Nothobranchius furzeri: one gene and its partner. The protein of the gene in region 2 interacts with the protein of the main gene of each other region in a biochemical or structural test. Links are inferred from orthologs where the notes say so. Each region holds a gene or a part of one and is shown on either strand. Other genes may lie near its edges.

Evidence for each region.
Region 1: the proteins of ATP-dependent RNA helicase DDX39A (region 2) and sarnp form a complex in vitro, tested with the Homo sapiens proteins (2 studies listed by BioGRID). The link is inferred for Nothobranchius furzeri from reciprocal best matches to the Homo sapiens genes DDX39A and SARNP.

Annotation. Positions count from the first base shown.
Region 1 is NC_091755.1:36,666,689-36,675,030, forward strand, and holds the start of sarnp (SAP domain-containing ribonucleoprotein), read left to right. Parts: upstream 1-3,729; 5' UTR 3,730-3,804; coding exon 3,805-3,837; intron 3,838-4,575; coding exon 4,576-4,681; intron 4,682-7,178; coding exon 7,179-7,222; intron 7,223-7,332; coding exon 7,333-7,403; intron 7,404-8,342. UniProt on the Homo sapiens protein: Binds both single-stranded and double-stranded DNA with higher affinity for the single-stranded form. Specifically binds to scaffold/matrix attachment region DNA. Also binds single-stranded RNA. Enhances RNA unwinding activity of DDX39A.
Region 2 is NC_091747.1:68,851,249-68,859,100, forward strand, and holds part of ATP-dependent RNA helicase DDX39A, read left to right. Parts: coding exon 1-233; intron 234-494; coding exon 495-613; intron 614-2,487; coding exon 2,488-2,619; intron 2,620-2,834; coding exon 2,835-2,944; intron 2,945-3,014; coding exon 3,015-3,159; intron 3,160-3,330; coding exon 3,331-3,478; intron 3,479-5,299; exon of another isoform or gene 5,300-7,492; intron 7,493-7,852. UniProt on the Homo sapiens protein: Helicase that plays an essential role in mRNA export and is involved in multiple steps in RNA metabolism including alternative splicing. Regulates nuclear mRNA export to the cytoplasm through association with ECD.

The DNA.
Region 1 (8,342 bases), on a different chromosome or scaffold from region 2:
CGGAGACTCGTTCGATTTTTGTCGTTAGAACAATAAGTCGCACACGCCCAGAGGGGGAAAGGGAAAGAATGCAAAGTTAACGAGGATTATTAAACAACTTGTGACATTCATCCGGCTTTGTCCCACAACTTTAAAGTCACACTATCAAGAGGGTTTTGTCTCCATATCATTGGTCCCACTGCTGCCCTGTTTAAACCTCTTTTTGAACAAAGTCAGCATTCACAGTAAATCCTGATTAGATGTCTTTCATCTGTCAGCATGCAGACCGTGAACCCTGTAAGTCCCTGGAATAAAATCCTGGGACCCTTAGCTTCATGTTTCATTCCTTAATCTTCTGAGTGATTTCTGTAACGCTCAGTGAGACTTCTCACCTGTCCACAGGTCTTCTGAGCAGCTCCTCGTGAGCCAGCTGCTCCAGCTGTCTCTGGATAATTTTGTCTAATATTGAAATTTGACAGTGATGACACTTTCATCTGCCTCCTGCATCGGGCCTTCTCACACCTGGGGAGCACCACATTCTTTTGCCTCTCCAGTAACTTTAAAACAGTCCAGTCCTGGGTATTGAGGGGAAACATGAAGGGACCATGAGGGAACCATCATTTGTCCGTGTAGATCATTGACTACCTAACCAGGAGACCCCAGTGTGTGAGGTTACTGGACTTTGTGTATGAGGTGGTAGCCTGCAACACGCAAGCTCTAGAAGGATCTAAACATTGGCGGTTTTAAACAGGGGCCCACAGGGGCCTGGGCCCCTATAGAACCGGCCCTGGACCCTGTTATGGCCCCTGTGCTGAAGAGATCGGATTTTTTCCCCCCGCGCTGCCTCGGAGACGGGAACTAATGCGCTGCAGTGTTTCACACGGAGCCTTTAGAGCGCAGCACACTCTGTGGACAGAACTGTTTACCTGGTGGATTTTTGAATAAAAGATTAAAAATAGTTTAAATGGGACCCGAAGAAATTCTTGAGGACGACTAACGGAAAAGACGCTAAGAGACGAAGGCAAGCAATACAGTTTATTTTCCTGACATCAATGAATTTCCTTTGGCAAAATTGTGCACAAGCTCAAAATTAGTAATATGGCGATGACAAAAAAGAATTTTGATATTGCCCTAATTTTTCCCTTTTTTTCTTGCGCCCCCATGAAAAAATACTGGCCCCACTGTGGCCCCCCTGGAAAATTTGGCCTGGAACCGCCCCTGGATCTAAACTCACCTTGTCCCTCTTTACCCTACACTGCAGACTTTGGTTAAAACACAGACACTCACAATCTCCAGAAGTTCATGGACAACACTGCCACTGTTGGTCATGTGTCAGAGAGGAGAAAACTGGAATACAGGGGGTCATCAACGGCTTTGTCAGATGGCTAGAGAAGACCCGCCACTGAGTTGGTAAGAGGTTACCCCCATGTTACACAAGCGAGCGTCCAGGGCGTGGACACTGAACGGTGAAGTGTAAATATCTGGGTGGCTGTTCACCTCAACAACAAACCAAACTGGTCCACATGTACGGATGCGCTCTAAGACAAGGGTCTAAGTCCTCACCTACAAAGACAGCTGAGATTTTTGGGGTTAACAGGACTCTTGCAAAAAACTTCTGGTAGCACATGCTGTGATCGGACAGTGATCTCCAGCTTTCGCTGGAGCGGTTCGCAGCCGAGTGTGAAGCGGCTGCAATGAGAATCAGCTCCTCTAAATCCGAGACCATGGTCTTAAACCGGAAAAGGGTAGAATGCCTTCTCCGGGTCAGGGGTGAGGTCCTGCCTCAAGTGGAGGAGTTTAAGTATCTCTGGGTCTTGTTCAAAAGTGAGGGAAAACTGGAGCGTGATAGGCGGTTTGGTGCTGCATCTGCAGCGATGCGGGCGTTGTACCGCTCTGTCGTGGTGTAGAGAGAGCTGAGTTGGAAGGCAAAGCTCTCGATTTACCCGTCGATCTACGTTCCTACCCTCACCTACGGTCACGAGGTTTGGGTAATGACCGAAAGATACAAACAAAGCAAAATTAGTTTTCTCCGCAGAGTGGCTGATAGGGTGAGAAGCTCGGTCATCCGGGATGGGCTCGGAGTAGACCTGCTGCTCCTCCACATTGAAAGGAACCAGTTGAGGTGGCTCAGGCATCTGGTGAGAAAGGCTCCTGGACGCCTCCCTGGTGAGGTTTTCCAGGCATGTCTAATTGGGAGGAGACCCAGGACACACTGGAGGGACTATGTCTCTCGGCTGTCCAGGGAATGTCTTAGGATTCACCCGGAAGAGCTGGCTCAAGTTGCTGGGGGGAGGGACGTCTGGGCTTAGGCTGCTGCCCCCGTTAGAAGAACAAGTACATGCAGATAGGCAGTAAGCTAGTATTGTAACCTTCAACCACTAAAATCCAAGAATAAAAAATGGAAAACTTGGGCTCCAGAATTACGCAGCATTCTATAAATGTAAATCTGGTGTTCCACAAGTATTGAACACTTGCTGAGTGTTGCATTGATGTTAATGTGAATTGTGAGGAGGTGCAAAGGTAAACTTAGCAGACTGGTCAGGAGGGCCAGTTCTGTCCTGGGCTTCCCGCTGAGGTCCATCAAGCAGGTTGGGGAGGAGAGGATGTTGTCCAAGCTGACATCCATCATGGACAACCCAACTGGCTGCATAATACAAGAGCACTGAGCAGCACATTCAGCAGTAGACTTTTATATCCCCTATGTAAAGAAGCATGACTGCAGGTCACACGTGTCAGGTTCTTCAGTACAGTTAAACATTATGAAGCGATTTAGCATATTTTTGACTGGCACACTGGCATCTGCTTGTGTGGCTTATGTGTAAATGGACATCTGTGTAAATAGAAAGGTGATTTGTTCTATATTCCTCGCTGTCATGAGAGCTCTGTAACACCAATGATTCTCATTCCTGTGATAAAAAAGCTTTAATCGTGTCAACTTGTTCTCTGACATAAATCATTTAAATGAGTCAAAGTGTTGTTGACCAAAGGGAAAGTGTACTCAAATACGTTTAAATAACAGTAAATGAAATGGCCTTAAACGTCACTTGTTTTAAAATCCCAGTAAATGTCCATCTTTCTCTCTTTGTCTCTTGTGAGCCATCAGAGGAACAAGAAAACGGTGTTGCCTAGCAACAAGAACATCTCTGTCTCCCGCTGTCAGCAGTGGTCCAGTAAGACAAAGGGAAAGATAATTTATTAATTTCATGCATGAATCATGATAACCAGTCAGTCTGGGCTTTACCTAAATCAACCTTCATCTAAGAAACACTTTGAACTTTAATTTTTTATAATGTTTTGTTCATTTTGTGTATTTCATCCAAAGAACTTACTTGGGTATTTTCTCCGAGGAAGATGGTAAATGGCCTGTAATTGATATAGCACATTCTAGAGTCCTGGAACCCCCCAAGGAGCTTTACAACACAATCAGTCACCCAATCACAGACACATTCACACTAACAACACTACAGTGTTTGTCAAAATGTCATCAACAAGGTAAAAACAACTGTTGCTGTGTTAAAAAAAAGAACCAAGTAATGTACATGAATCAACAACACTGAGCTGTATTTTTATTTTTTAGGAAAACAATGTTTACATTCTTATCTACAGAAATAACGTTCTATAGTCCATTGTCATGGCATAAGTCCAGCTACAACTTTAAATTCACTGTTCATCCCCTGTGTAAACGTATAAAGCTCGAAGAATTTTACCTGCAAAAGGTCAGTGTCCAGCAGGGGGCAGTGTGAGAAGACAGCGCGCAAGTGGTGGAGCTCAGAATGAGAGGAGCTAGTCTTTTGATTGGAGGAAGACTTACGTCAACAAAGAAAGATGGCGGAAGTGGTGGAACTGCATAAACTGAAGGTTGGTAGCGACCTAAAATTACGATTTTAGTTTGATTTCACACCTTTATAAGTGACGGATGGGTGTTGATTTCTGTTTATTACAGAATGACGTAGTGGGTTCAGGGTAAATGGGATTAGAGGTTAAATCGTCTCGTCTGTGTGTGAAGGCTGAAAGCCGGCGTCGTGTGTCCGAGGAGCTACCGCTGCTAGCGCGCCGAAACATGTAGCTTTGCAACATGGGACGGTCCAACATATGATTTTATCAAGATATGACTAGATTAACGAAAAATAAAATAAATGATGGCATGATTAAATCAACCAGTGTTCAGTAGGGTCAGGTAACTATCAAATATTTCTCACGCTGTTAGATTTTACAGATCATCTGGTGGAGCAAATTATCTAATAAAAACAAAAATCTTGATTTGGAAAAATAAAATCCAGTACTTTTATAGAATAAAATAGTCACTGAAATGATACATTTTAAAGCATTTCTGTTCTCATCATCCAGTAAAACCGCAAACCCTTCTGGCATATAAACAGGGTTAGCAGATCCAGAAGCTGCTCTGTTTTAAACCAGGTTCATCATTTGTTTTGTACAGCGTCCATTTCTACGCACACAAAACAAGCCTGTTTACAAACGGCTGCAACTCAAATGTTGACATTTGCCAATGATCCTAAAGAGGCTGCTGACTAGACTACTTTACTTACATTTTAAATGATTTAACATGTTTTCCTTCCCCTTCTTCTCATGACGCAGCTTGCTGAACTGAGGCAGGAGTGTGATGCTCGAGGTCTGGAGACCAAAGGGAACAAAGGAGAGCTCATCGCCCGACTCCAAGCATACCTAGATGAGCACGGTGAAGGTACTTTCAGTTCACTTCTCTTTATTCACACACACACACACACACACACACACACACACACACACACACACACACACACACACACACACACACACATCTTCCATTCATTTCTGTGACTGTATAACCATTACCAATGCTGATCTATTCCTAACCCTAACTAAAACTTAATTCACACCATACCTCTAAAACCAACTGGTAAGCTTCTAAAAAAAATTAGGACCAGAAAAATGTCCTCACTTTGTAGGGAAAATGGTACAAATGGTCCTCAGTAGGTGGTGTGTACAAGAGCACACACTCACACACACACTCACTCACACTCACTTACTCACACACACTCACTCACTCAGTCATTCACTCTCGCACACACACACACACATTTGCATTGCTACTCATGTGGAGATCTGACATTGACTACCATTCATTTTAGTGACTGCATTATTATGCTTGTCCCTAAAAGATGACATTAACAGTCTCTTGTTTTATTGACATTGTTGTGTGTATTTTAAGCAGGGTGGTTTTGTAAAGTCTGTAATAATTAGAAGCACATCTGCTTTAATTAGAAACACGTCTGTAATAATTAGAAACACGTCTGTAATAATTAGAAACACATCTGTAATAATTAGAAACACGTCTGTAATAATTAGAAACACGTCTGTAATAATTAGAAACACATCTGTAATAATTAGAAACACATCTGTAATAATTAGAAACACATCTGTAATAATTAGAAACACATCTGTAATAATTAGAAACACATCTGTTATAATTAGAAACACGTCTGTAATAATTAGAAACTCGTCTGTAATAATTAGAAACTCGTCTGTAATAATTAGAAACACATCTGTAATAATTAGAAACACATCTGTAATAATTAGAAACACGTCTGTAATAATTAGAAACACATCTGTAATAATTAGAAATACGTCTGTTATAATTAGAAACACGTCTGTAATAATTAGAAACACGTCTGTAATAATTAGAAACACGTCTGTAATAATTAGAAACACGTCTGTAATAATTAGAAACACGTCTGTAATAATTAGAAACACGTCTGTAATAATTAGAAACACGTCTGTAATAATTAGAAACACGTCTGTAATAATTAGAAACACATCTGTAATAATTAGAAACACGTCTGTAATAATTAGAAATACGTCTGTTATAATTAGAAACACGTCTGTTATAATTAGAAACACGTCTGTAATAATTAGAAACACATCTGTAATAATTAGAAATACGTCTGTTATAATTAGAAACACATCTGTAATAATTAGAAACACGTCTGTAATAATTAGAAATACGTCTGTTATAATTAGAAACACGTCTGTTATAATTAGAAATACGTCTGTTATAATTAGAAACACGTCTGTTATAATTAGAAACACGTCTGTAATAATTAGAAACACATCTGTAATAATTAGAAACACATCTGTAATAATTAGAAACACGTCTGTAATAATTAGAAATACGTCTGTTATAATTAGAAACACGTCTGTTATAATTAGAAACACGTCTGTAATAATTAGAAACACATCTGTAATAATTAGAAATACGTCTGTTATAATTAGAAACACATCTGTAATAATTAGAAACACGTCTGTAATAATTAGAAATACGTCTGTTATAATTAGAAACACGTCTGTTATAATTAGAAATACGTCTGTTATAATTAGAAACACGTCTGTTATAATTAGAAACACGTCTGTAATAATTAGAAACACGTCTGTAATAATTAGAAACACATCTGTAATAATTAGAAACACGTCTGTAATAATTAGAAATACGTCTGTTATAATTAGAAACACGTCTGTTATAATTAGAAACACGTCTGTAATAATTAGAAACACATCTGTAATAATTAGAAATACGTCTGTTATAATTAGAAACACGTCTGTAATAATTAGAAACACATCTGTAATAATTAAAAACACATCTGTAATAATTAGAAACACGTCTGTAATAATTAGAAACACATCAGTTGTCTGTATTATGTTCTTTACTATTGGAGTGAACACTGTGTTTGAGTCTTTTGGCTATTCCTGTGTTTGAAAGACTCCTGAACTTCTGGCTCCTTTGGTCTTTTTTTTACAGATTTGTGTCCCATTTACTTTCTGTCTTCGTCATTTACACAGAGCATAGTCTCAGCGTGGTGTCCCACAATAAAAACTATCCCTGTGAAACAAGTAACTACTCAGCCTTAGACTTCCCCTTGGTTTAAAAGCGCTGAGTCTAATACTTTAGTAATTTAATGAATTGTTTCAGCCCAATAAACCAGCAGCATGTCGTCCTCAGACTGAACTAGATCAGTCACAAACTGGACTTTTCCCACAGATGGATCATTTTAAAAACCCTAAAATCATCCAACTGAGTCATTTCTAAGTTCCATTCAGGCTAAACTCCAGTTGTGTTCAGTTACACAAATGTAGGTTGTTTTCTTATCTTGCTGGTTTCTTTGGGTTCGCGTCCAAATGTCCTTGTCTTGTGTTTTTATTTGCAGAGGAAGATGTGGACTTAGACGATGTGCTGGCAGAGGACACGGCGGTAAAATGATTGATTATATTCTGACTATATTCTGTAGTCTGTTCTCTTGTTGTCAAAGATGTAGATTTATATTTGCAAAGGAAGACTTAAAGTTTCTATTTTCCTTTTAGGACTTCACTAAAGTTGAGAGTTCCAACACGGTGAAAGTGGACGAAGACACTGAAACGACTGCGAGTGAGATGTAAGTCCTTTAAATTTCATTTATCAATTTAACAAAGACGACCGGCGGGTTTTAGAGGTCCTCATCTGTGCCCCAGACAAGCTGGTTCCCAAAGTCAGAGACTCTCTTGGTCAGCTTGCTTCTCACACCAAACCCTTTGTCAGGAATCTTGATGTGACCTTTGACCCACCCTCTCACCCTGGATTCTCATGTCAGTTTTTTGTACACCCTTCAATTAGGGCTGAACAATTAATTGCATGTGCAATTAAATCACGATGTGACAAAATTAGATTTTCTAATCGCAAAGGCGATTTGACTGGCAGTGAGTGTTTAGCACAATGCTAATAAACATGGAAAAACCCATAGGGATGCTAATGCTAATATTGCTGATTACATTCTTACAAATTACAAATTAGGAACATGCCAAATGATTACATTTGAAGTCTAATAAAAAGTAAAAACTGCCATCAATCAAATAAGTACAGACAGATATTTTAGGAAAGCTAGAAAACTGTAAGAGACTTTAACTCCACTGAGCTTTGGCTAGCAGCTATGGACTTAGCTGAACTATGGAAGCTCTGCATGGACAAAACGCCAAAAATTCTAAACACAAAAGACTTCAGTAAACGGGACACACTTCTTTCCTGCAAATACATTCTCACAGGTGTTGCTAATACCTATGCTCCTTCAGGGGATGTGCTCCTCGCTGCAAAGCATCGCAGCTTCAAATACAACATTTTGTCTTTACTTGTGCTTATGTAAACTTGTTTTTATTCATTACAAGTCACATAGATTTATTTTGCGTCCGTTGGTTGAAAAATATGAGAAAAGCCCCTTGAGAAAATAATCATGAATTAAATTGCAATATTGAAGAAAAAAATCGCAATTAGATTATTTTCCAGAATCGTTCAGCCCTGTTCTCCACACCTTCATCTCCTCACGCTTAGACTACAGCAACTC
Region 2 (7,852 bases):
GATCAGCAAAGAGTACGAGCGCTTCTCCAAGTACATGCCGACCGTCAAGGTGTCCGTGTTCTTTGGAGGCCTGGCCATCAAGAACGACGAGGAAGTCCTGAAGAAGAACTGCCCTCACATCGTCGTAGGAACTCCAGGACGAACCCTGGCCCTCATTCGTAACAAGACGCTCAGCGTGAAGAACATCAAACACTTTGTGCTCGACGAGTGTGATAAGATGCTGGAGCAACTGGGTGAGTAGGAGGACAGCTAGTAGTTTGATCTGATGTTAGGATTGGTCATCTTTATGCCTTTCATGTCCCTCAGCACTGCGTTATTAATTATCATTATTTAAACTTTCTCAATATTTTCATTTTCAGTCACTTATTTGTTTTTTTAAAGCTGTGCATCACCAACTTCCTTCCTGATCTGACACACGGGGAAGATTGCTCCGTTTTAGTACAAATGAGGTAAAAATGAGAAACACATGGAACATAATCTGTTTTTCCCCTCAGACATGAGACGGGATGTTCAGGAAATCTTCAGACTGACGCCACACGAGAAGCAAGTAATGATGTTCAGTGCGACTTTAAGCAAAGAGATTCGCCCCGTCTGCCGCAAGTTCATGCAAGATGTAAGTTATTGTCTGGGAAACAGACAAGCGGTCGTTCACATGAGTCGCATGTCCACAGAGACCCTCCCCCAAACGTCTGAACCATCCCTTTAGTGTGTCTAACGGGGGTTATGTTTATAAAAAGGAGGGATGCACCGATCAGGTTTTTTGCTGCCGATCACCGATACCGATCACGTGGATTGGCCAGAAATTTTCTACAACATTATAATGAGTGCTACAAACTACATAATCTGGGAATAAAGGAAATGTAACCTAATCTAAAATGGTCTGTATTAGGGTTGTCACGGTGTGAAAATTTAACCTCACGGTTATTGTGACCAAAATCACCACGGTTTTCGGTATTATCGCGGTTTTTTTTTTAAACGTGCTACATTTTCACACAATTAAATAAACCCTGTATGTCAGGAAATATTGTCCTCAGTTTGTGTCTAAATTTTGCCTAAAATGTGTTATTTAGTAATTATGTTGTTTATTTGTTTACATTTTCCCCCTTTAGTCTTTAAAATACCAATATTTGCCCATAACGTCTTATTTTATGTCTGTTTGATGTCATCATTTAAAAATATTAGACCAGATGATACTCAGTACTCAAGTAGCCTTCTAATCAGATACTTTTTTACCCTTACTTGAGTAATAAACCCTATATCAGGAAAATATTGTCCTCGGTTTGTGTCCTTCCAGTGAGCTTTGCAGATGTGGGAAAATGTCATCAGGCAGTAATCGTTGTTAAATTCATAATTATTCTCGGAGAGAGACCAACTCTTATCTGCCCCTGGGAGCCCCGTAATGCATAGCGTCATTTCAACATGGCGGTGTCCGCGACACGGTTTATATGCAGGTAGCGGCGCTGCGGCTGCTTTATATAGCAACTCGTTGCATTCTCCCTCAACCCAAATCCTCGGATCACGCACTTTAGCTAAAACGCTAACGTTAGCTTGCCTTGCGTTGACTGTAGAGTTGTGGGTGATGGTCACGCAGATGTGTCATGAGATTTGAAGCGTTGCTGCCTTTCACAGACACTTTTTCTGCACGTGCTGCAAACAGGATAGCCGTCTTCTATCAGCTGTCCCTCGGCATTCTTCACATATCCAAAAGATGCCGTACTTCCCACTTTGTCTTTGAGGGATAATAAATGTCCTCCTGAGCGCTGCCGTCTCCTCCTTTGGCCATTATTTCAGCTTTAGCTTAAAGAAAGTTTTGGTTGTAAACAACAAAGTGCGCATGTGCCGCCGACAACTTCAGCAGATGATACGGTGGCTGGTAAGGGTCACCGCACCTACGGTAATCCACCGAGATAATATAGTTTTTTTTTTTTAAAACAAGACGGTTATTATTATTGTCAACTGTTTTACCGGGGTTTACCGCTACACCGGTTACCGTGACAACCCTACCTGATCGGTCTGCTTTGATCTATTTTGAAAACTCCGATCAAAACCGATTGGGGCGCTATCGGCAGACTGGGATCAAACGCCGATCCATCGGTGCATCCCTAATAAAAAGCCTAGTTCAGCTGTCTGCCATAAAGCCCGTGTTCTAACAGTAGATCAGTGTTAAAAATCTACTGATGAATCAGCCTTTCCCGTGTTTTGGTTAGAAGTTACCTGAAGTCAAACCCCTCCAGCTTTGCCCACTCGCGGCTGACCGTGTCACGAGTGTCCATTTCAGAGGGGCAGAGCGAACGTCCTCAGCTGATCTTGCTCGGCCTGGGCAGCGGTCCTCACGGCTGTGCTGCGCTGCGGGAGAACAGGCCCAGGTTGGACTAGTTTACTCAGGAGAACCACGGGAAGGTTCTAACTCGTGTTGTTATGCTGCATGTGAATGCAAACAGAACTGTGTTAGTAACGTGTGCATCGGCCTCGTCTGTTTTCCTTCAGCCGATGGAGGTGTTTGTGGACGACGAGACCAAGCTGACACTGCATGGCCTACAGCAGTATTACTGCAAGCTGAAGGACAGCGAGAAGAACAGAAAGCTGTTCGACCTCCTTGACGTGCTCGAGTTCAACCAGGTGTCCTGTGACTTTTCTTTCTTTTATTTGCATAAAATGGCTTTGTGTCCGTGAAGTCTTCCCTGTGTTTTCATTTAAACAAACGTTTAGTCTCTTGCTTTAAAGGCCCTATAAATAAATAAACAAACCCGGAACCTTTTCCCCTTCTATTGTCGTGTTGGCTGATAAAACACCGAAGCCTTGTGGACTTAAGGGTCTCCTCTGGTTCCTGACAGGTGGTGATCTTTGTGAAGTCCGTGAATCGTTGCGTGGCGCTGTCCCAGCTGCTGGTGGAGCAGAACTTTCCCGCTATAGCGATCCACAGGGGCATGGCGCAGGAGGAGAGGTGGGGCTGCTTCTGAAGAAGAGTGTTTGAATCTGTAAACCTGTTCCCTAATGCGTCCGCCCTCCTCCAGGTTATCTCGGTATCAGCAGTTTAAAGACTTTCAGAGGAGGATCCTGGTGGCGACTAACCTGTTTGGTCGAGGCATGGACATCGAGCGAGTCAACATCGTCTTCAACTACGACATGCCTGAAGATTCTGACACCTACCTTCACAGAGTCAGTTTAGCTTTAATACGGTGGCGGTGACACAGATTGGTTTGTTTGTTTTTACAAAACCAAAGAAGCCTAATGATGGTTGGATTGTTTAAATATTTATAATTATTTAAAGAATCTTAAAAACGTGTTGAAATTTCTTTTGAGTCCCGACGTTCTTCTGTTGACCCCTAGGTCGCCCGTGCTGGCAGGTTTGGAACTAAAGGCCTGGCCATCACCTTTGTGTCAGACGAGGCTGACGCCAAAACCTTGAACGAGGTCCAGGACCGCTTCGAGGTGAATGTGGCTGAGCTTCCAGAGGAGATCGACATCTCCTCCTACAGTAAGTGCTCGTGCTCACAGGGGTGGTCCTACTTTTGTCAAAGGGAGTGGTAGTGTGATAGTTTTCTGTTGCGTGACGACATCAGGGAGCCGTAGGTCGTTTAAGTGGTCAGACCGTGGCGCAACTATGTCCCTTTTATAAAATATTAGGCGATGGTGGCATAAAGGCGGTATGGGATCAGTCTCTGCGATGCCACAGACTTCCATTTAACTTGGAAATAACTTTATTTCCATTATGATTGAAGCCGCAATCGTCATGTTTTTAACAAGCTGCTCCTGAAGATGTCTCTCCGTCAGTCCTTGTGCCGTCTCTGGTGGTGTGAGCTTCAGCTCTAAAGGAGAGAAACTCTAGGAGCACTGCAGCGCTCCAGTGTGCCATCTCAAATTAATGAATTAATGCATCTGAACTCATGCAGTAGGAACTAGGAAATATGAAATACTAGAACCATTTTATTTTAAAATGATTAAACAGATTTTTTCCTAACGTTGTGGGCATTTTCCCCACACAGTTAAAAAAAACAATGTTGATTATGGTGTGTGTGTGTGTGTGAGAGAGAGGGAGTTGAAAATTTTAAAATCCGACCAGAGCGGAGGCAGTGACCGATGCATGCACGAGCCGTTTTCAGCTGTGTCTTGTCAAATGCACCACGTACGTTACGAAAAAAGTAACTTTAAATATTCAACCGAAAAAGAGGCGAGCTGAAGAAAACCTAGGGAGCATACAACGAATGCCTTCAAGAACGAATTGATAAGACAGACATGGGAGGAAGTGTACCAGCAAACTGATGTTGACAAGGCTTATGAGACCTTTGTAAGAATATTTATTTCATTGTATGTTAAGAATTGTCCCTTAACAAAATGTAGTAGCTCAAACACAAGGGATAATCAACCGTGGATGACGAAGGGGATAAAGTGTGCCTGCAAAAAGAAAAATAATTTTTACAGGTTGTTTATAAATAAAAAAAACTCCAGAAGCTGAACATAAATATAAAATATATAAGAATAAGCTTACCAATATAGTAAGAAAATGTAAAAAGGAGTATTATTATAAAAGTTTGAATAATGCTAAACATGATATTAGAGAAGTGTGGAAAATATTAAATAATGTAGTTCGACCAAATTTAGGTCATGATAAATTTCCGAAATATTTTGTTGAAAACAGTGTTGTAAAACATGATTATGGTGATGTGGCTGATAGCTTTAATAAATTCTTTGTAAATATAGGACCGTCATTGGCAGAAAACATATCTAGCTCATCTACATCACATACACCATTCTTAAAACAAATCAAACCTAATCCTCATTCCATGTTTCTTTCAGCTGTAGAGGAACAAGAAATAATACAAATTGTAAAAACATGTAAAGGTAAAACATCAACTGACAGTCATGGCATTGACATGATGACGGTAAAAAAGGTTATAGAAGGAATTTCAAAACCACTTGCATATATTTGCAATTTGTCTTTTCAATCAGGTGTATTCCCAAAACTAATGAAAGTTGCTAAAGTTATACCAATATATAAAACCGGGGATAAGCATCAATTTACGAACTATAGGCCAATTTCATTGCTTCCACAATTTTCCAGGATTCTTGAAAAACTGTTTAATAATCGACTCGAAATATTTTTGGATAAATACAAGATAATATCAGACTGTCAGTATGGATTTAGACCGAATAGTTCAACATCACTAGCTCTGGTGCATTCTGTGGAAGAAATTACAACGTCAATTGATCAGAAGAAACATGTTCTGGGGATATTTATTGATTTAAAAAAGGCTTTTGATACAGTTAACCCTTGTATTATGTTGAAAAAAAATCACATTGGTTATGTTGCGGGTCATTTTGACCCACCCTGTCTAAATTCACTTAGAACTGTAAAAAAACTGCAATAAAACAGGAACTTTATTTTCCATTAGAAAAAACATTTAAAACACAGACACACAATAAAGTTTGAATATCCAGAACTATTTGTAAGAACTAGTTAGTAAAAGTTTTCCTTCTTTACAAACACTTTTATTTTTCTCAGATTTTCAATGTTCAACATTTTCAGTGTTGTCCACATGATGGACAGAGTGTAACTGTGTGCTTTCTGCAAATGCACTTCTTGCACTTCTCACAAACGGTGCTTGTTTTAATGTCTTATCGTGAGGGACAGACCTGGCATCTTTTTCGTTTCTTTGCACCTGTATCCACTGGATTCATTGTACATTGGTCAGATGATGCAGACCTGACGTTTTCAATGAGAGCTGCTGCTGCTGGGGATCGAGCTGGTCTGGCTCGCCTCTGGATCTCGGGGGTGACAAGACTTTTTCCCAGTTCTTCCAGGAAAAGCCGACGTCGGTACAGTTTGCCGACATTCCAATGTTGGTTGATTTCAGTCCACAGGACAAAGGCACTGTAAGCTGACACATCCACAATGTTGTAGAAAATCACCAAGGGCCAACGAGCTGTTTTGCGCTGGCAGCTGTATGTTGCTGTGACTTTGTCAAGATTGTCTACTCCTCCTTTGGTGGAGTTGTAGTCCAGGATCATTTGTGGTTTTTTGTCTTCTCTTGTGCTCAGAGATGCATCTGTGTGCATTGTGCTCATGACAAGAACATTTTTGTTTTTCTTTGGGCAGTATGAAACAACTGTTGCTTTCTCGGTGAAAACAAATTTTGAGGAATTTGGAGGTCTTCCCTGCATCTTCAGAATTTCACTGGGAAGTTCTGGTTTATTTTTCCTGATTGTTCCCAACATAGTGAGCTTTCTTTTCTGAAGTTCATCTCCAAGCCAGTAGGATGTAAAGAAGTTGTCACAGGTGATGTTATGCCCTTGCAGCCCTTCACTCATCTGCAGCACCACACGCATCCCCTGATTCTTCTCAGATGCCTCTCCAGGTAGCTTTCCGGTGTACACCTGCATATTCCATGCATAGCTAGATTTAGCATCACAAGCTGCCCATATTTTGATGCCATACTTGGCCGGCTTGTTGGGCATATACTGTCGGAAAGGACAGCGGCCCCTGAATGGAACAAGGCGCTCATCTACAGTCACATGGGGACCAGGGTTGTACAACAAAGGTAGAATCTCCACCCATTTATCCCATACATCTCTGATTGCAGCAAGTTTGTCTCTTTCACAGCGACTGGCTCTGGTTTCACGGTTGTCAAATCGGATCACACGAGATATCTTGTGAAATGTCTCAAGAGACATTGTTGCACGAAAGATCGGCCTTCCATTCTCTTCATTCCATAGACTTGCATTTGCTTCTCCCTTTGACCTGTATACTCCAGCTAATACCAGGACTCCAATATAAGCATGCAAGTCAGTCAGATCCATGGGCTTCCATTTCTGTTGAAATACACGCCTCCCCTCCAAGTTAGTCATGTCCAGTATAATCTTTTCTATTGGAGAGGGTATGAAGAGATGAAATGCTGAATGGATATTATCAACTCGTGTGACTGCAAATCTTGTAGGACCAGGTGTCATTTTGATGACATTAGCAGATGACAGTCTGCCTCGACTTCGGTGTGGTGATGTTGACCATTTTATTTTACCATCTTTAGATGTCCATGCCCCCTCTGTAGATGATGATTGCTGCATTCCTTGGTTTTCACTTGATGAAGCGATGACAGAAGACTCCTCTTTAGAATCCTCATCAGAAAATTGGTAGTCTGGATCATCAGTAACATTGTCCTCAGCCTCTGAAAAATCCTCTGTCTCTGAAACATCTTCTTCGTCATTGCTATGCCAGTTAAAAAGCTGAGATAAAGCTTCTTCAGCTGTCAACCTTCTAGAGCTCATTTTTGGTGTGTTGAAATCACATGAGATCAGTTACAAGAACAGGGCAGAAAAAGTTTCTCGCGCACACACCTGGGCCTCTGGGTGTGAATGTATATTCAGAAGCAATCACAACATAGCACATCAAAGAGTCATGTTTATTTTTGTTCTGAACAGCTTTTTACTCACATTAAAGTGTGTGGGTCAAAATGACCCGCAACATAATTTTTGTATACAAAAACTGCTAAGACTTCCCAGGACACATCAAAGTGTCCATATTTCTCATACCAGTTCATGACCCCAGATAAGAAAAAGTCATAAAGTTTCATTAAGAAAAATAGAAGATGATCAGCGCTATGGTCAACACAAAAACTGGAACGGGTCAAATTGACCCGTAACATAATAAGAAGGTTAATCATAAAATGTTACTTGAAAAGGTAGAGAGGTATGGGGTTAGGGGTGTAGTGTTGAGCTGGTTGACAAGCTATCTACAGCAGAGGAGACAGTTTGTGAAGTTTGGAGAATGTTCATCTACATGGTTGCACATTGTTTGTGGAGTACCACAGGGGTCTGTGTTGGGTCCAAAATTATTTTTATTATATATTAATGATTT